Linked DNA regions of Schizosaccharomyces pombe. The gene in region 1 interacts genetically with each later gene. Each region holds a gene or a part of one and is shown on either strand. Other genes may lie near its edges.

Region 1 (3,979 bases):
CATCCTTTTTTTTATTTATGGTTCTTTTTTTAATTATATTTCAGAATTTTCCCTTCATTTCTGCTTCTTTTCTTTTATTCCATAATTGTTATAGTGTATAGGTTTAGTTACCATTTAAGCATATTTGTTGGATGTGCATCAGAAAGCAAAAAAACTTCACCCGTTTGATTAAAATGCAATTTAGTAAAAAACATTTACTTCTGATTCAAGTTACTTCTTCACGTCTTAAGATAACTGATAATAGAAAACGACGTTTATTAACATTTTATTGAAACAATCTATAGACACCGGTAAGAATAAATCCATAAGCCATTCCCAAAATACCGAATCGTTTAAGCTTGTAATTGGGTGTATTCAAAGGAATTCTAGATTGCGAATAGGCATATATTCCTAGACCTGTGAAAGCGCCTGCGCCCACCAAGCGGCATGGCAAGCAATCGTACTGTTCAAACCTTGGATCGTCTAAATCGACGGGTTTGGGAGTTTGTTGGAAACTTGATGATGGCATCATCGAAAGCTATCAGTTTAATTTATAAACTATAAAAAAAAAGTAACCGCGTAAATATATATGTGTATAATTAAGAGGCCACACAGCTTTCAACCACTTTCACTTTATAAACAAGATTAAAGCACTAAAAGGTAAAGTTTACTCAACCCGCTTTTTCTTTTCTTGTCAACTACAAAATGAAATGTCAGCGATCAATAATACGGTATCCAATTTGATAGATGTTCAATAATAACGACTCAGGACTTTTTTCTCTTTCAATTTGTGGGAAATCTATAGGGCGCGCTGTTCAAACTGTTTAATATATTGGTCTTATGTTCTCCAGTACTGAAATGAATCAATGGCAAAAGTTAAAAGAGACAAAGTAGTGAGTTAAGAGCTAAGTTATAGATCTACTGAAACCGTCTGTTTTATTTTAACTATGAAGAAGAATAAAAGAGGCTAAAGTTACATTTCATTTTTGTATATTTGTAGATCTGCTACCGGATCAATATTTTTTTGGGCGATATAATTTTAGTAAAATTAAAGTAGGATTTTATTGATCTCGAGAAATAAGAGAGCAAACAAAACGACGATAGAAAGAAAGAGCATCGTAATATTGCTTTATTACTTCAATCTGACATGTAAAATTATTTTTCGGCACCAAAAATTGCCGCTTTTTGAATTTAGGAATTCATCTCACATTTGCATTTTACAAATAGAATGCTGTTTAATTTTATGAGTATACAATTATAATTATAGCTATTTATACGAAGCTTTGCTTCTTTATGTCTCTTCCAAAAGTTTCTATATTCCTGCTATGTTTATTATTTATAAAATACTGAAATAAAGTGTGTACGTTAAAATAGGATAAGCGGATTAAATGCGTTCCGTTATCTTCGAATATTATGACTAAACTGAATACGTTAACGAAATTTTTCCGCTGGTTTCTGCTTTTTTTGGCGTTTGTGATTCAAACAAAAAAACGTCTGTTGACATCAAGTCGGAGTGGAGACAATCTTTTTGTAATAAAACTGTTTTAATTGCACTTTACACTCTGTACAGGCTCAGCCTCGTCCATACATACTCAAAGGGTTCATCTATAAGAGCGCTAGGGCAAAGTAACGAGATTTAGTGAAGTGTAGTAGCGTCTCCTTCTTTCCTTTCGTTGTTACATGAGCCGCTGACAGCCTAGTAAATAGCTAACCACTGCCACATCGAAGGAAAGAGCGGTGTCAGAATTTGAGTCGAAAAACGTTTATTTACGTCGAAATTTTTCTGTCTAGAGCAGGAGAAAGTAAACAAATCTAGGGATGGCGACAGAACTTCGCAGAAAGCTCGTTATTGTGGGAGATGGTGCATGTGGTAAAACATGCTTATTAATGTAAGTAAAAATGGTGCAAGCGTCGGAAAGGTAGTAGAAGGGTAAAGTAGTTGCTTGGGCCTGTTTTAAATTGGCAAGGGTTTACATCTCTTGCTTAGCATGGCTGGAGAAGAAAATTATTTCCGTAAGCATGTTCATTGCCTCAAGAAAATAATGAAAGAATCCCCATAGAAATGAGACTTAGATGGGGTTTAGATTACATTTAATAAATGTTCCGAGGATTTAATTTGCACTCCGTACCCTGTATTTCTACTTACTCTTTGCTTGCTTATCTGCAATGTTTCACGAGTCTGTGTCATTGTTATACAACTTCTAACATTTTTCTTTATAGTGTATTTTCTAAAGGAACCTTTCCCGAGGTCTATGTTCCCACTGTTTTTGAAAATTATGTAGCTGATGTTGAGGTTGATGGACGCCACGTTGAGTTGGCTCTTTGGGATACGGCTGGACAAGAAGATTACGACCGTCTACGTCCCTTGTCATATCCTGACTCACATGTTATCCTTATTTGCTTTGCTGTTGATTCTCCCGATTCTCTTGACAATGTTCAAGAAAAATGGATTTCCGAGGTTCTCCATTTCTGTTCCAGTCTTCCTATTTTGCTTGTCGCTTGCAAGGCTGATCTCCGTAACGACCCAAAAATTATTGAGGAGTTATCCAAGACTAATCAGCATCCCGTCACCACAGAAGAAGGTCAAGCAGTAGCTCAGAAGATTGGTGCTTACAAATACCTTGAGTGTTCTGCCAAGACGAATGAAGGTGTTCGTGAGGTTTTTGAATCAGCCACTCGTGCTGCTATGCTCAAACACAAGCCCAAAGTGAAGCCCTCTAGTGGAACTAAGAAGAAGAAGCGTTGTATCTTGTTGTAAACAGCTTGTTTCCAAATTTTTTAACTTAGAGAATTTATCTTTTCTGTTTTTATACATCTCTTCAGTCGAAGCACATTCAACAAGTTTCCGTATTTTTTCGACTTATGTTGATTTTTATTTCACCTTCACCTTGGTGGGAGTTTTGCATTGTGTGGCCTATCATGTTACATAGTCATTATATCCTCTCATTCTTTCCTTTTTACTTACCTCAAGTCGTGCCATTTAGTCAGCTTGGCAATGATTTAAGCGCATTTCATATAGCTGTTCTACCATTTCCCCTCACTGTTCTGCAACGTATAGGCACCTGCAAGGAGTATGCGTCTTGTTTTCAGTCTTTGCTTACTTTGCTATACTCTTCGCTATTAGTTTGAAGAAAATTTCCCTTATTGCCTTGTTATTGCATGGTTTTATTTTTCCTATAATACCTTGTTTCTTTTGTTAAGGATTGCCATCATTATTATCCTTTCTACCTAGTCAAAGGACTTGGTAAATTTTTATAAATCGGTAATTTAAAGAATATACACCTCGATTGAAACTCGATCAAAACCCGAATATTTTATAAGCTTTCTCACAGCACGTAATTGCTTATTATCGTGGAACTTTAGCTGGGTCTCCAATTTTGCACTAGAATTATTGTAGAAAATTGAAGCGACATTATCTCTGTTGATAACCTTGCTGGTATACAGGCGCTTGGTATTTTTATACACGTTGATAGTCGAAGTAGCAGATAGCCGTAGTTGATGGTTTAAACATTTTGTATTTTGCGGAAATTTGCACACTGTTTATATCTCATTCTCTTTACGTCAAGCATACCAATGTTTGCAATTTCATGTTTTGAAGGTGACCGTTGTTATTCTATCTATGCATTTGTATTACCATTTGATTTTCACTCTGTCTACAGGCAAGATTATCAGATGAAGATATAAGCATTGTTGACTTTACCTAAAAAAAAGGATAATTGCGAGGGAGCAAATAGTGAATTAAAGGGAAAAGAACAAAGTTTTTGTAGCTACTAAAAGCTGTTTGTCTATCTCTATGTGTACCTTTTATAGTGCTTATAAGTAAAATGCAGAGTCGAAATCTTCATGCTTTAATGTAAAGCATTAGTAAGGTTACATATTACAACAGAAATGGGAATCAAAATCTTAAATCTAAAAGTTGAGAGGTCTTAACAAAAAAGCTAACTCAACTTAGCTTTACAATTTATAAATCAAGGAAACAATACTTTATCAATTGTATGTT
Region 2 (6,581 bases), on another chromosome or scaffold:
AGAAAAGAGAGGTGAAAAAAGATAGAAAAAGGAATTGAGAAAGAAGAGTATAAAAAAAAAGAAAGAAATGCGAAGAGAAATTAATAAATGGAATAAAATAAGGGAAAATAAATTAAAATAGAACAAATTCAGTGTCAATGGAATTCAAAAAATGCAAACCAATCTCGTACGCCCTCAAAAAAAGCAATTTTATAGTAAGCCGGAATGAAAACGATTGATGCTTTCAAAGTTATGCGATGAACCAGAGAAACTCCCGTCCTCTATTAATAAAAGACTTTGACATAAAATTACGAATACAGAAAGAAAGAAAAAAAGAAAGAAAGAATTGTATCGCAATATCAATGCAACAGTCTGTTTATTCGGTTTGTGATGCCACAATAAAAGGGTTAGGGCGGAAGGAATAATATAGGATGATCTGATTGAAACAACCCAAAAAGGAAAGAAAGCTCCCAAGCGTTTCAGAGGAATCAAGTTTCGTAGGTTTATAGACAGAGAAAGAGAGAAAGCAAAAGCAGTATATTATGAAAGGTAATGACTTGATCAAAAAAACAACCTCTTCTAATGAAACGTTTGGGATAAATCAAAATCGATGCCTAAGAAAAGATTATAGGACTTTATGGTTTTTAAATATATGTGTAAATGTTAAATAACTTATAACCCACCACCAAGGGATCTTCGTGGACGGCGAGCGGAGTGGATAAGAAAATGGCTGGTTGTATGTTCGCGACGGAAGAACAAAATTGGTCTTTGACTAGCAAATTTTCCAAATTTAGATTACATGATTTAAACGATAAATAGGGCAAATAAAGTGTACAAAAAGATATTTGATCAATTTATATGATGTTGAGCACAAGCTGAATAGTAAACAATGCGAACGCAATTAAAATAAAATAAGTCAATACAGCATAGTCATAGAAATCGATCAATTGAGGTTATCCGGATTAAAGCTAATTATTTTAGATGATGTTTTTCATATTTGTAAATCGGTAATACAATTATGAGCTGGTCGGACAGAAAAAGTGAGCACATAAATTGCAGCAAGTAGAAAAGCAATAGGCAATATAAAGTAAAGGAGTTCATTCATGACTTCCCTTTTTATATAAGCGTTTTTTTTTTTAGTGGAAAGTCGACCAGGATGCAGTTGAATGTTGATATTAACTTTGTTAGGACTAGTGAAAATTCAGATTTGTACTTTTTTTTTAAGGAGTTCAAGACTTTTTTACTACATATTCAACATTGAAATCACCTTATCTATAGAAGAAGTAGATAAACTTAGCCCAAAACAGCATACTGATGACTTATAGCTTCTCATCCCTTCATAATATTAATGCGGTTTACTGCTGCTGTAACAATTCTTCTGATATATTAAGTATACGTATTTTTCCCTTCGAGGATAATCTTTTCTTAATATACCTGTTGCTCTCTCAAATTGCTAAGCAGACAAGTAAACAAATCAATTGTTTCATTGAACGAACCAGGACGGCTATATAAACTTATTATTATAATTTAAATCAAATTTTAAACATTCAACTCTGGAAACACTAACAAAAGCCTTTTTTTATGTCGCCTTTTAGCATGTGTTTCGAGTGGAAACCCTCCATGCAAAAGAAATTGAAGGTGAAAGCAATATACTAAAGCAAAACATTAATTCATCAAGCAATACGCAATTTACATATTAATGGTCTTTGATTTAGAAAATCGTATAAATTAGAATTTTTCATCATCTTACCGTTATAACGAGTTCGTAGCTACTTTCGCAGAAAGTTTGTGGTCAAATTATCTTGTCTTTTTCTCCACCACCAAACCCTCGTTTTCACGGGAAACATTCAGCATTGTCGATTCGATCGTCAAACTGATTGTTTTTATAGTAGCAATGGATTACCGGCATCCAAATGCACTCGGTGTGAATGAGAGCTCGCGTGCTTATGAGGAAATTTTTGGTGCTCCAAGAAAACGGGAGCCGGCGAGAACTGTAAGTACTCCTGCGTTCATGGAACCGGCTCCAGTCTCAAAAAAACCTCTTCCTCCTCCCACGCGAAGGCTTCCTCGGAAACCTTTGCCCTTTCGTTCCACGAGTTTGCAGCCTCCATCGTCTCAACCTCCTGCACCTCCAACTCATCAGAGAGAAGCATCTCCTGTGAAAAATATTGAGCACAGTGAATCTTTTCCTTCCGTTTTTGGTACTTCAAATAATCACCAGATCGTCCCATTGACTCTTAAAGACGGAAATGATTTTGGTGCTCTATATGCATCTTTAAACACCACACCCCATTTTCCTCAGGTATCGAATCATGCGCCCAATAACTCTAATTCCCCTTCTTTGACTTGGCACACATCATCCGGTGATGATTCCAACCAAAATCCTTTTTTCGTTCGGCGTCAGTCTCAGAGTAGCACGTCTCCGGTTTCGGATTCAGTAGATGAGAACCTCCTTTCAGCAGTCTCTTCTGTTACAGAGTCCGTAGAAACAAACCTTCATCTCGATCAAAATTATCCTTACGGCTCTCCTGTTCGTTCGTCTAAAAATCCCTTTCTCTCTTCAAATTCTCGATTACCAACTGATGATTCTTCTCACACTGTTGGTTCTCATTCATTTACTTCAGGAACTCACCCACCCATTGTTTCTTCTAATTCCGCCTTTACACTTCCCAATGCTGTTACTCCTGCAGCTCAAGCACCTCTCATACGTAGTGTTAGTGAATATCCTGCTAACGTTTCTCCACCTGCCCAGTCCCTTCAGCTACCAAAATCTACTAGCAATCCCGCGGATCTTCATTTAAGCATAGCTTCTGCTAGCAGCCATAAGAATATTTTTTCTGGGTTGGACGTCTTTTCTAATGTCTTTCATGGTCCCTCTACCACATTACGAGACAGAGAACATGATATGCGAAATCGCTCATTTGATCATTCTACCTTGGCTCATTATGAAGCAGTTAAGCAGCAGAGACTTGGTGTTGAACCTACTGCAAGGTCCTTTACGTTGAGCTCTTATAAGTCCCGTGCAAGTGGAAATTCCCTAATTAATGATCGAAGCTCTACAACAACGCCGACGTTTGTTAATTCGGAAGCTAGCTCGCCTGTTCATAAAAATAAACGAAGACGCAGAATATATGCTGCCTTACTTTCTCGTGTTGCCAGCGAATTGTTAGATAGACTACAGCTAGGTGATATCACGAAAGACGGTTTAATTTATTCTAATGCCTTTACTGGCGATCATGCAGTCACCGTGCTAATGGGTATTATACATACTTCTGATAGAAATCTCGCTTTACTTGTCGGACGCTCTTTAGATGCACAAAAATTTATTCATGATGTTACCTATGATCATCGTCTTCGTGATTCTCATCGTGAAATATATCAGCTTCAAGGTACTGGTTATCGCCCCTTCTTACGCGCAAATGATAATGCATCCATTAACAACAAAAACCATCATAAGGAATTGGAGGACAATGAGTCGGGCACTCGAATCTCACCGTCCACGTTAGGTGACACTTCTTTTCCAAATGGTATATTTACTTTATTGACGCATTGTTACTCTCCAACATGTGCAAAAGATCATCCCTGCTATTCTATTTCATGTCCTCGACGATTGGAACAGCAGCACAGACTATTTGCCAAAATGCGTGCAAACACTGAACAGTCTTCCTCCCTAGCGTTTGATGATAAGGAACAAAAATTGTGGATTCACAGCGTACCCCAGGAGATTGCTTATAGTGTCAGTGACCGGGAAAGAAAGCGTCAAGAAGTAATTTGTGAGGTTATCTATACTGAGCGAGATTTTGTTAAGGATTTGGAATATCTTCGGGATTATTGGATTAAACCACTATGGGCTTCATCTTGTATACCTGAACGAAAAAAAGAAAAATTTATTCGTACTGTGTTTTTAAATGCTTTAGAGGTTCAAGCAGTTAATTCTAAATTGGCTGAAGCTCTTACTAAAAGACAAAACTATAAACCCATTGTGGATAATATTGCGGATATATTTTTGGAGCACGTTCCAAAATTTGAGCCTTTCATACGATATGGTGCAGGCCAACTCTACGGAAAATACGAGTTTGAGAAGGAAAAGTCATCTAATCCTGCATTTGCTAAGTTTGTCAGTGACGTTGAACGTCTGAAAGAATCACGAAAGCTAGAGCTAAACGGCTATCTGACTAAACCAACTACCAGATTGGCTCGTTATCCATTACTTCTAGAAGCGGTATTAAAATATACTGATGAGGGTAACCCTGATAAACAAGACATTCCGAAGGTCATTAATATCGTTAGAGGATTTCTCTCACGTCTTAATGTTGAAAGCGGAAAAGCAGAAAATAAGTTTAACTTGTTTCATTTGAATCAACAGCTGGTCTTTAAACCTGGAGAACATTATGATTTACATCTGCTTGATGCGAACAGACAATTAATATTCAAAGGACCCTTGAAGAAAAGAAGTGCTGGTTCCACTTCTTCAGAGTCTGCGTCGGATGTTACTTTGTTTCTCTTTGACCATGCTTTGTTGATAGTAAAACCAAAGACTATTAATAAACGTGAATTATTGAAAGTTTTTCAAAGAGTATGTTTTTTCTATTCATTTAAATTGTTTTTTCTAACTAGTATAGCCTATTCCTCTATTACTTCTTCAACTATTCCTTGTTGATGATAATGGATTAAGAATCCCTTATTCAAGTAAGCAACAACTAGCAGCTGTATCAAAAGCAGCGAATGGGAAGCCACCTTCTAGATTTTATCCATTTAGCTTACAACTTTTGGGTCGTAGAGGGTACGAAATCACTCTTTATGCAACCACTGAAGTTAGTAGGGATAAGTGGTTAGAGCATATTGACAACCAACAAACATTGCTACAACATCGTAACCAGTGGTTTGAGTCTGTTACCATTTGCTCTAATTTCTTTGTTGGTGATAATAAAGTAAATGCGATAGGCGTTTATGATAGTGGTCGTCGACTTTTATATGGGACTGACACAGGTGTGTACGTCTCTCTTCGAAAAGCAAACAGCCCACTTCAATTCAAGCCTGTACGTGCGTTAAATATTCCCAACATTTCACAGCTTGAGGTTATTGAAGAGTATAGTTTATTGCTACTGCTTTCCGATAAGGTGTTATATTCGTATCCTTTGGAAATGATTGATGCGGATACTACTCAAGCCCCTAAAAAAGCAAGGAAAGTTTCTGGTCATACAACTTTCTTTCGCGTAGGAATTTGTCTGGGTAAAGTTCTTGTGTGTGCTGTCAAAAGTTCCGTCTTGAGTGCTACTATAAAGGTTTTTGAACCAGTCACTAATTACTCTAAAACACGGAACATGCCAAGCTTGAAAAAATTCCTTACTGTTAACCAAGACCCATTGAGGATTGTCAAAGAGCTTTATATACCCACGGAATCAACTTCGGTTCACTTCCTGAAGAATAAACTCTGTGTCGGATGTACGAGAGGTTTTGAGGTGGTCAGTCTCGATAACCTAGAGACGCAGTCTCTACTGGATCCAGCCGATACGTCTCTTGAATTTGTGGAGAAGAAAGAAAATGTTAAACCTATCGCTATCTATCGTATGAATGGCGGTGAATTTCTTTTATGCTATTCCCAATTTGCTTTTTACGTAAATCGAGATGGATGGCGTTCTCGTCCTACATGGTTTGTTGTTTGGGAAGGAAGTCCTCAAAACTTTGCCTTAAGTTATCCTTATATATTGGCTTTTGAACCCACTTTTATTGAAATCAGACATGTTGAAACCTCTGAATTGATCCATGTCATTTCCGGCAGAAACATCCGTTTGCTTGCTGATGGAAGAGGAAAGTTAGGGGACGGTGGTGAAATATTTTATGCGTGCGATCAACGTGGTGAAAATTGTGAGACAAGTGTTGTTTGTTCCCTTCGATTGACGAGTGCTGCTGCCCACGCCAAAGAGCAGCATGTAGACAAGTAATTTTGGTTTTTTTGAACTTAATTTTCACGTTTTATTTATAACGGTTAATTGGATATTGGTTTGTTCGGTTATCTTTTCTTTTCTTTTTTAAAAAAATAATTTAGGTGCATGAATTTTAATGATAAATAAGATTTTTTTAAAATATATACGTTAACAATATTTTAAAGTGAATAACTAGATATATTGTAGGCAAAAAGTACTAGCGAATATGATCAATGTTACTATACTAGAAGTAAAATATTTTTAGTCCTCATATTCTAGGGGATCACCATATACCCAGAAACCGATATGATTTAGACGTGCTTCTTGCTGATGCTCTTCTAGAATATTGAGGGATGCGGTATCTTTTTCAAAGTGAGATGTTTTTTTCTTGGGAATAACACTAGCCATGCCGAGCGCAACCAGTTGGGCATTAATACAGTCAGAAAAATCTGAACCATCACTAGGATTATACAAAGTTACAGAATACACGTTTCCTTCGTGTCCATCGACTTTAGCCACTAGACCTTTATTCATGGCTAGCTCCCTGAAAACGAGTCTTGCGTCTTCATAGTAATCAGAGCTGGGAGGAGGTAATTGAACGTAACTGAGACGAGCAAGTTGCGCTTGAGGCTTCAATTTAGTATAGGTATCTGGTAAAGAGGATATGTTTTTGAA
Region 3 (5,719 bases), 260 kb from region 1:
TCACAACGATGCTTGTGATCATGTTTTAGAACGACCTGCCGTAGAAAACATGCTTTGCATGATATGTTCCAAGGTTCAACCAGCAGCTCAATATTGCAAATACTGTAAGAACTGTATGGGCCGATATTACTGCAATAAGGTATGTGATATTTTATTTGATACTTGTTCAATATCACTAATACATGACTTAACAGTGCAAACTTTGGGATGACGATCCGAATAAAAGTAGCTATCATTGTGATGATTGTGGTATTTGTCGAATAGGACGCGGTCTTGGCGATGATTATTTCCACTGCAAGGTAACTTTCGTGTACTTTTAGCACATGCTTTGCTTTTTAAACTCATATTCTAACAGCTGTAGACTTGTGGCCTTTGTTTACCTATTTCGGTTTTCAATACTCATCGTTGCATCGAAAGAAGTACGGATTGTAATTGCCCAATTTGTGGTGAATACATGTTTAACTCTCGCGAACGCGTAATCTTTTTAAGTTGCTCTCATCCGTTGCACCAGCGATGTCATGAAGAATATATAAGAACCAATTATCGTTGTCCTACTTGTTACAAAACGATCATTAATGTCAATTCATTGTTTCGAATTTTAGATATGGAAATTGAACGACAACCCATGCCTTATCCCTATAACACTTGGATTTCTACCATCCGTTGCAATGACTGTAACTCACGTTGTGATACGAAATACCATTTCTTGGGTCATAAATGTAATTCATGTCATTCTTACAATACTTGTATTTCATCAATTTACAAACCTTTGGATCACCCACAGGTGTCTATCCCTCGACTGGCAACCGCTGAGGATGCCGGTATGCGACGGCTAATGGGACATTCTTGGGACAACAGCGATGAAGACTTTAATATTTTCGGGATTCACAGTTTTATATAGATTTTCTAACTTTATGAACTTCCTAAACTGTTACGATTATCCTATATGTACTATTATTTTGGAAAAGTTGCTATTTTCATTCAATTCTTTGCAAGAATTACGAATTTTTAACGTTTACCCCAATTGTCTGATTATATTTATTCCCTTTTCTCGTCCTTTTGCATCTACTTCTTATATGGTTTTTTTTCTCAACAAGTCAAGCGATGGTATGAAGTAAATCGCTTAAATTTCCTCGATGAAGAGAATTTCTGTTTTAATTAATCTAAACTCATCTACTTTTGTGTGAAGCTATGGTGTCTTGAAACATTCGCAAACATAAGGACTTTGCTTCATGCAATTCTGGGCCTCTCTCAATATTTCAATTTCCTGTTATTATGACTTATATGTTATTTGTCTTGATTTTTTTTACGGCTGGCATTCATTAAATAAAGAGTTTATTGTCATTCCATATTCATCTAATCCTTCAGATTCCTTTTAAACTGACTTTTTGTCTAGAAGATGCGATCATTCGTCAAGTTACTGCAACTATTCTTGTTACTTTTCTATCTGTCGTTGTGATTCTTTAGCAGCATCCAACTACAAAATTTTTTTACCACACTTGCAGTTGTCTCTTAAGAGCAGGTTTAGTAACGTGGATGGGTTGTTAGTCGGAGTTACTAGTCAGATGAAGCGATAATACTAATTTTCTACTATATCAATTTAATTTGGCATGAATAAAATTTCAATACATTGTTACTATGTAAGGTGGTTAACTCAATTACCGCGTGGAAACGATAGTGTCAAATGCAGCCATATGTTTCAAGCCAGTAGTAAATGGCATCTACTGTTGCGGATGTTTAGTAATTTAAAATTAGGGAAATCTATATGAATATTGCAGTATGTGAAAACTGTGGTAGCTTTCTCATTAAGCGCAAGTTAACGGCGATCTCTTTTTATCCAGCCATTTGAAATGAATAATTTGCCTTAGTAAAATTTCACCTGGTTCGTAACTTTAAGGTTCTTTGCTAGAGCATTGATAGGTAACATATTGGTAAGGTGAAAAAAAGCCTCGAAACTAACTCGGAAAGAATCCCCACATTGAAAAGTGCATCACCCTTACCTATAGGCAAAGCCAAGCAGGACCGCGACATTTTCTCTTTACCGCTTACTCTTCACCGTGCTTTTAAGGGAATTCATCAAGATACATTGAAATTGGACGAGATCTTATTATTTTTCTAGAAAAAAAATCCAACGTTCTTTTAAAAACTTCAAAAAACCTTCTTTCTGTAAGGGAATTCGCACGCAAGAGAAAATGTCATTCACGAACAATACTTCAAGTGTGGACACTTCCCTCAGCTCATCTGCTTCTAGCAGTATTCCGGCAAGCAGCTCTTCTGCTGCTGCTAGTACGAGTTTGAGTAGCTCAAGCGTGATTCCTTCTAGTTCGAGCTCTATGCTTTCATCGTCTAGTGCTACTGCAATTAGTTCTTCATCATCGTCTTCACCTCTTTCATCCTCATCTTTTACTTCTCCTGCTTCTTCTTCTTTTATCACATCTTTGGTCTCATCAAGCAGCCAACAAAGCTCTAGTAGCAGTGCTTCATTGACCTCTAGTAGCAGTGCTACACTGACTTCCAGTAGCAGTGCTTCCCCGACCTCCAGTAGTTCGAGTCACGCGCTTAGCAGCAGCAGTAGTTCTCTTGTCGCTAGTAGTTCCTCCAGTGGGATGTCCAGTAGTTCCTTAAGCCATTCGTCTAGTGTCCCATCATCTAGTTCTTCCTACCACAGCTCTTCCATGACTACGAGCGGCTTGAGTTCTTCAGCCAGCATTGTCAGTAGTACGTATCGAGATGGACCCTCAATAATCACATTGGTCTCAACTTCTTACGTTTCTGAAGTGGTGACCCCCACTACTACTAATAATTGGAATTCCTCCAGTTCTTTCACTTCCAGCACTTCGTCTACGCCTATTAGCTCTTCTTATTCTTCCAGTGGCACTTTGCCCAGTAAATCTAACAAGTCAAGCAATCATGTCGGCGTAGTTGTTGGTTGTTCTGTTGCTATTCCTGTTGGTGTAGTTCTAATTTTGATTGGTTTAGGAATTTTTCTTTGGAAAAGGCATCAACGGTCCAAACGAATTAAGGCTGAGCGCATGCAAGAAGTCGAGGAATACGGATTTAACCCCAATCAACCCTCCAATTTCCGTAGCCCAAATCGTGCTCCCTCTACTAATAACAGGTATCGTGGCTGGAATGGAAGCCCAACACCTGCTGCTGGAAACAATACTAACGGACGGCCTGTTGCTCCTAGACCTTCTGCCGGCGCTGGCGGAGCCAATCCGCCTGCAGCTTCTCAGCCCGGCCTTTTGGGTGGCAGTAGTAATTCAGCTGGTCCAATTGCAGCTGCTACCGCTGCTGGTGTCGGTGCTGATGCTTCTGATGCAGCTAATACTGGTGGAAGCTTTACTCGTCCTCAAGGAGCCCGTATGGTTAGACCGATTGGAAATCCACCTGATCTTTCTGCTTCTAACGAAGCTGAAGCTACAATGCCTCCATCTAATGGAAGCAACTTTTCTGAAGGTTTGTCTGCATCTCCGTTTGAGTCAGGCCCTGCTGTTGGTGCCGCTGGAGCTGCGGCCGAAGCTGCAGAACACAGTGGTTCTGGTTCAGATTCCTATCCAGAAGGTCCTTTAGCTACGATTCCTGAAAGTGACAGTGAAAGCATGGCTAGTGATTTAGCTGGAGAATCCTCTTACGGCTCGAGGGCAGCTCTGTCTAGTCGATCTCAAAGCAATCTTCTTTCCCCAACAAGCACTGGTGCTTCTAACCAGCCCAATTATTCACCTTTTGCTGACAACCCATCAAGTAGCAACGTTTCTATTCCTCGGTCGTCATCGGAAGCTCGCAGGTTGAACCTGTTTTAAAGTATGCGCTTAAACACTTGTTGCGATAGATTTAAGCAAAAATTATTTGTTTACAATTTCTGGATATATCCGTCGCTTAAAATAAATGCGTTAGTTACGCTTGCCTTCAATTGATGGTAGAAAGTCTTGCGAAGAAAAGCTTGCTCATCACTTTTTCGTATAACAACTTTTTCTTTATTCGGCTTTTACCTTTGTTTTTTACGAAAATCTTAAGTAATCGATCTTTTCAATCTTATTGCTATCTCTTTGTTTTACCGTTACTCACTCATTTCCTTTTTGCTTGAACAGTTTTATGGTATTAGAAATTCACATTCTCATTGCAAAGCTTTGTTATTATTATGGGTTTCGCTTATACCATCTCATACAATCAATTGGTCCGTCGGTTTACTTTCTTTAAAAAAGGAGTTATTTAGCAAACTATTTATCCTTCTTTCAAACTTTCTTTTTAAACTTAACTATTTGCTTTTTCTCATGGCCCTCTTTTTTTAAGAAAATTTCGTTGCTTGCATTTCATTCAAAGTCTTAAATATGTCATCTGGTTCCTTAACTTATTGCTTTTAAATCGACTTCATCTTTTGACTGACTTTTGAATTTTTCTTTCAATTGTTTCACTGTAGTGAGATACAACCCTTAAAAAAGTCTCTTTGGTTTGTTTATTCTTATCCTTTTCTCATTTGCATTTCATTACTTATCAATCATTTCTGTTTCATTCGCCGTTTCGCTTTGTTTTTTCATTTGTACATTTCTTTACAGAATGGCGAATTCTTGTCAAATGCGACGGAAAGCCAATTTTCCTGAATAGTGTAAAACGAAATGAAACTTTTAACAGCTACCTGTTTTCCATCCCATGGTTTCTTGTTATTGAAAGTGGATAGCAAATAGTCTTTATGACCAGCCATTTCAATTTTACTTTCAGTCGCCTAACCAATCTCGTTATCTCATTTCTTTGAAATAAATGTACATACTGTACTTTTTCCTTTTCTTTTCCTTCCGTTCCTTTTTCACCGTCTCGTATATGTAATGGAGCGTCACGTTCCCTTCGCTGCACTTATCGCTCTTACTCTTTCGTCATGTTGAGGACCATCTAGCTCTACTTTCTCTCGTGTGGCTGGATGTTTACTTAACTTTGTTTTGGCCAGCATGCTCGACTACTGATAATTAAAAAATAAAAATTTTGAGCATTGTCTGTTTAAGAGTTGTTGCTAAGTTCTGGCTTTATTACTTTTATTCGCGGCACTCCGTTTGCCTTCTTGTATGTACCTTTTACAATTCTTCGTTTCCTCTCTTTCTTCTCAGTTCTAACTATCACTTGAACGCAAAGTGGTTAGATATACATTTTCCTCATTCTTTCGTATTAAATCAATTTATTAAATGCTTATAGCTTGCAAATCATACATTGTGCTGCATGATATTTACTTTCGTAGTTAACACGTAAAACGTATTTTCTGTACGCCAAAAAAGATAAAGAACAATTTGGTAATCGCGTTGTATATATATAAGGAAATGGGTTATAATGCGTTAAGGATCTAATCTGCAAGACCGATTAATTCTCCTTTCAGCCAACACCACGCGAAATCCGACGGATTTCAAAATTGTGCGCTGAAAGCACGAATTTGATTAAGGATTCCTTTTGTAGTTCTTTTTTATTTATTTCGTTCCCGAAAAAAGCGTTTTTGTATCAAATAGAAAGGATAAAACGGCCTTAATTGAAAGTTTTTTTTGCAAGCACAAATACTTGACTTTCTTTGGGAAATTGGCTTTTTTTTATTATCCAAAAGCAACGCTGGTTTGAAATTTTACCATCTTTTCCCCCTATGTCAAACTCAGCTCAGTAAGTAGTTCTTTAACTGCTATAAACACATTTGCTAACTTTTATGATTAGATCTCGTCGAATTCGAGTAACAAGTATGTGATGA
Region 4 (3,799 bases), 2.2 Mb from region 1:
TAAAGAAAGAAGAGTCAAAAAAATCGCGATATCGATACTAAACAAAATTGCGATCAGAAGAAGCACAAGGTGCCGAAAAAAAAATATTGACACAAGAAGATAAGAATGCAACAGTAATGATATTTGACAAAAATCAATCGGTAAAGAAAAGAAAGTTCGTACTAAAGGCTCTATATATACAAAAAAAATGCTGCTTTAAATATCACTCAAACCGAAACAATCGACTCTGTAAACAAACAGAAAAACAGTGCTTATTCGACAAAACATTCAAAAGTGTGGGGAAACTTTTATTAATCAGTTTCTTACTGGTTTAAACAAAATATAACAAGGCTGAGCAAAAAAAATAGGAGTCAAAGGCTTTACCAAAAGCTTGATGCGAGTGTTAACTCATTGAAGCGCACATCGTCCATCTTTTTTACTTGATGATCTACACATGATCATCTCTAACAATGAGGGAAGTTTTGCATTCAGATTATATGAGTTGTTTATACAAGTCGCATATGAACATTCTGAAACGAGGGTACGGAAATGATGGAATATACTTTAATAGTTTAAAGAGAGTTAAAATGAGTGCATCATCATATCTGGTATGCATTTTCGATTACAGGGAGAGGGTGGTACTGTAAAATTACCATTTTACAGCACGAAAACTCCTTTTGTTTATCAGTAGATTAAAAGGATACTCTCATTAGTAAGTTTAGTGGATTAAATAGTATTAACAGCATGTGCTTAAAAAATGTTGAAACATGTCGATGGCACTGTGATCGCATAATAATTCATTATGCTCATTGAAGTTAATATAAAACCAAAGGAAATCTAAGAGATTATAAGTCTCTTAGCTTTACTTAAAAGAGATTCTAAAATTCAAACTCTAAAGTGCGTCTGCAAACAGCTGTTTGCTGTAGCTGCTGGATTTATGAACCATGGTGAGGTGCGATTTGTAAACTAGAGAATGATAGCGAAACGCTCGTTAAAACGCCAATATCGCACTTTCTATGGACAGTATTATAAATTTGTAGTACAGCATCAAGCATAATATAATTCCCAGTAACTAACATAATGATCCCATTACTGTTAAATGTAATGTGTTATGGGTCAAAGCAAACAAGGCAAATTTGATAATGAACGAGATGATTTTTCGGTTCGGTTTCCAATTCGTTATTATAAACAGTCGTAACGGAGCGTCAAACCTTCATTTAGTAAAAAAAAAAAAAAAAAATTGACTAAGCAATACGAAATATCTATAGTAGATACATGCGTATTACTATTTTATATTATTGTTGAGCAAAGTGATAATGCAATAACGATGTTAACCGTAGTTCGGTAAAGACACATTCATACGATATTATATTCAATTTGTTTTGATTTACGATTTAGAGTTTTTAAACATAAGCAAACGAAGATCGGAATTAAACCAAAATAAATCTCGTGCCAAAAACAATAACTTCATAAGTAGAAGCTGTAGACACGTGAATAGAATATTTAAAGATGTTGTAATTGTTTTCCTGGGAGATTTCAAGAAGTGCTAACCGAAGCATGAGTAAACTAGGAGCTTTTCGATCACAGCAAGCAAGGCATGTCAGTTACTAGTCGTTGAAATTTTAGTAGGGTAAGCTTTAGCTTGATAGCGGTTGCTTGGAAAAAACAGTGTAACATTCAAAATCGGTTTCTTTTGAACCTGACAACATTACCGTAATAATTCAATCGCTCAATACGCCATTCGTGAAGGGTAGTAGCCTTTCTCTTACGAAGTTACTAAAAACTCAATTTTTTTTGTACCCTTAAGCGCTTACGAGTTCTTTTCTTCAACTTATTGCTACTCGAATAATAAATGTTAAACATATCTCGACTTGCTTTTCAGTTCGTTGATCCTCGCTATTTACAGTTTGTAACAAGTTAACTCGTCTATGAAGTCATCGATAGAAGGGCTTTAAAGTGTGCTATTTGCGAAACAACAGCAAATTTGTAGACTAGCACTTTACAAAAGTCTACTATCGTATTGCCGGTTCAAACTAAAATTTATGACCTCAGTTTCTACTAAATATAGTACGAATCATGATTAAATTGAGGTTAACAAAAGATGCGAAAGTAGGGTGTTGCTTCCTAATTTTTGGATTGTTAAACAACCTTCTCTACGTGATAATTTTATCCGCTGCCTTAGATTTGGTTGGCGCAAACGTTTCTAAGGGTGTGGTACTACTTTCTAATATTGTTCCTTCTTTGGCGTGCAAGTTGTCAGCATCAATTCTTCATGTTCATAAATTTAAGTTTGCAAAGAGAATCGGTTTTTGTGTTTTCATGTCCATATTAGGAATGCAATGGATTGCTTGGTCTTCCTCCGTCCCTTCGAAAATGCTTGGTGTATCTCTGGCAGCCATTTCATCGAGTTTTGGCGAAATCTCTTTCTTGCATCTATCAAGTCGTTATCACTCTGTGTCTTTACCGTGCTGGAGTTCCGGAACAGGCTTGGCCGGTCTCTTTGGTGCATCTTCCTATTTGGTTATGACTACATGGTTTAACTTCTCGGTACGCAGCACACTTATTATCTCTAGCTTTCTGCCGCTTTTCCTTTTGATCATGTACTTTTTTGTGTTGCCAGAGTCTGAATCTACATCACCTTCAATTAACAACAATTATACGCCAATTGAATCTATTGATCTTCGAGCAGGGCACGTTTCATTCAATTTCGTTAATTCTTTGAAGCAAACATTCATATTCATGCAACCATACCTTCTTAGTCATATGTTTCCGCAGTTCCTTGTATACTTCTCAGAATATACTATCAATATTGGTGTAGCTCCCACTCTTTTATTCCCGCCCGAAAAAGCTGGCTTTTCTTCGTTTAGGGATTTTTATCCTACTTACCAAACTGTTTACCAGATTGGTGTTTTCCTATCGCGATCCTCCATTTCATTTTTTACTGTCCCATATTTGCGCACATTGGCAATAACACAGTTCATTATCCTTCTATTTACTATACTACAGTCGGCCCTATATCTTACTTCCAGCTATCATTTTGTACTATTCCTCATATTCGTTGAGGGTCTTATTGGTGGTACCGTTTATGTGAACGTGTATCATAGTTTGCAGACTACGGAGAGTAGTCAGCGTGAACTAGCTATTAGTACTGTTGGCTCTTCAGATAGCTCTGGAATTTTTTTAGCTTCATTGGTATCACTATTCCTTGAACCCTCCTTGTGCCATTTCCAAGCTGATCGTGGCCGAGATTGGTGTGCCTTAACTTGAAATAGTGAGTGCGCACATCTCCATTATATTGAGAGTTAACCTATGACGTTTCTTCCATTAGTGTGCTAAGTGCTTCAATATCAAGTTTGCTTTACGACCATTTTCTTTCAACTATTGTTTACTTTTTTAGTTCTTAATAGGTTTGCTTTGAAAGAAGAAGTTTTTCATTCCTAATTCCTGATACCAGAAGTTCTTAAACTTTTGGTGCACAATTACTTTCTGCTGTGCATTCTATGCGAATCATATCAAAACATACATTACTTAATTTTTTCCTTTTCATATCTTCCTTCTTTTAGATAATATGGCAGAACAGAAAATCATATCCTTATTTGACGATGATGCTTGTACTCGTTATACAATTTTAATTGCTAGTACAATTGGTGAAATGCGAGAGAAGAAAGAGTCAATAATCGATAACACGGATCCTGAAATAGTAAAATATCTTTCTCAATTATTGGACGTCTTTAGAGAAAACTTCGACACTTGGGCAATGGCAGTTGTAAATCGCACAGGTTGCGCACTGGATCCCTCTACTCCAAAGGATCAAGTAGAA

The links.
Region 2: of rho1 (region 1) and rgf1, extra expression of one rescues a mutant of the other (dosage rescue), as found in Schizosaccharomyces pombe (one study listed by BioGRID).
Region 3: of rho1 (region 1) and mtl2, extra expression of one rescues a mutant of the other (dosage rescue), as found in Schizosaccharomyces pombe (one study listed by BioGRID).
Region 4: of rho1 (region 1) and btn1, a mutation in one rescues a mutant of the other (synthetic rescue), as found in Schizosaccharomyces pombe (one study listed by BioGRID).

The regions. Positions count from the first base shown.
Region 1 is NC_003424.3:4,222,383-4,226,361, forward strand, and holds rho1 (Rho family GTPase Rho1), read left to right. Parts: upstream 1-1,688; 5' UTR 1,689-1,797; coding exon 1,798-1,868; exon of another isoform or gene 1,869-1,940; intron 1,941-2,103; exon of another isoform or gene 2,104-2,199; coding exon 2,200-2,737; 3' UTR 2,738-3,442; downstream 3,443-3,979. Other genes in the region: protein tam6, read right to left, coding at 266-511. UniProt on the Schizosaccharomyces pombe protein: Involved in the regulation of cell wall growth and actin cytoskeleton organization. Activates (1,3)-beta-D-glucan synthase.
Region 2 is NC_003421.2:1,243,390-1,249,970, forward strand, and holds rgf1 (RhoGEF family guanine nucleotide exchange factor Rgf1), read left to right. Parts: upstream 1-1,796; 5' UTR 1,797-1,873; coding exon 1,874-4,555; intron 4,556-4,601; coding exon 4,602-5,924; 3' UTR 5,925-6,081; downstream 6,082-6,581. Other genes in the region: tudor domain and nuclease, Snd1, read right to left, coding at 6,168-6,581. UniProt on the Schizosaccharomyces pombe protein: Stimulates the exchange of Rho1 and Rho5 GDP-bound form into GTP-bound form. Controls septum formation, cell wall synthesis and localization of F-actin patches. Coordinates actin deposition with cell wall biosynthesis during bipolar growth.
Region 3 is NC_003424.3:3,957,706-3,963,424, forward strand, and holds mtl2 (protein Mtl2), read left to right. Parts: upstream 1-2,043; 5' UTR 2,044-2,192; coding exon 2,193-3,803; 3' UTR 3,804-5,209; downstream 5,210-5,719. Other genes in the region: SPOM_SPAC2F3.16 (ubiquitin-protein ligase E3), read left to right, coding at 1-139, 195-299, 362-901; HECT-type ubiquitin-protein ligase E3 Pub1, read left to right, coding at 5,618-5,634, 5,686-5,708.
Region 4 is NC_003424.3:2,049,909-2,053,707, reverse strand, and holds btn1 (battenin CLN3 family protein), read left to right. Parts: upstream 1-1,959; 5' UTR 1,960-2,055; coding exon 2,056-3,246; downstream 3,247-3,799. Other genes in the region: protein Mil1, read left to right, coding at 3,548-3,799. UniProt on the Schizosaccharomyces pombe protein: Involved in vacuolar transport and vacuole pH homeostasis. Also required for cytokinesis.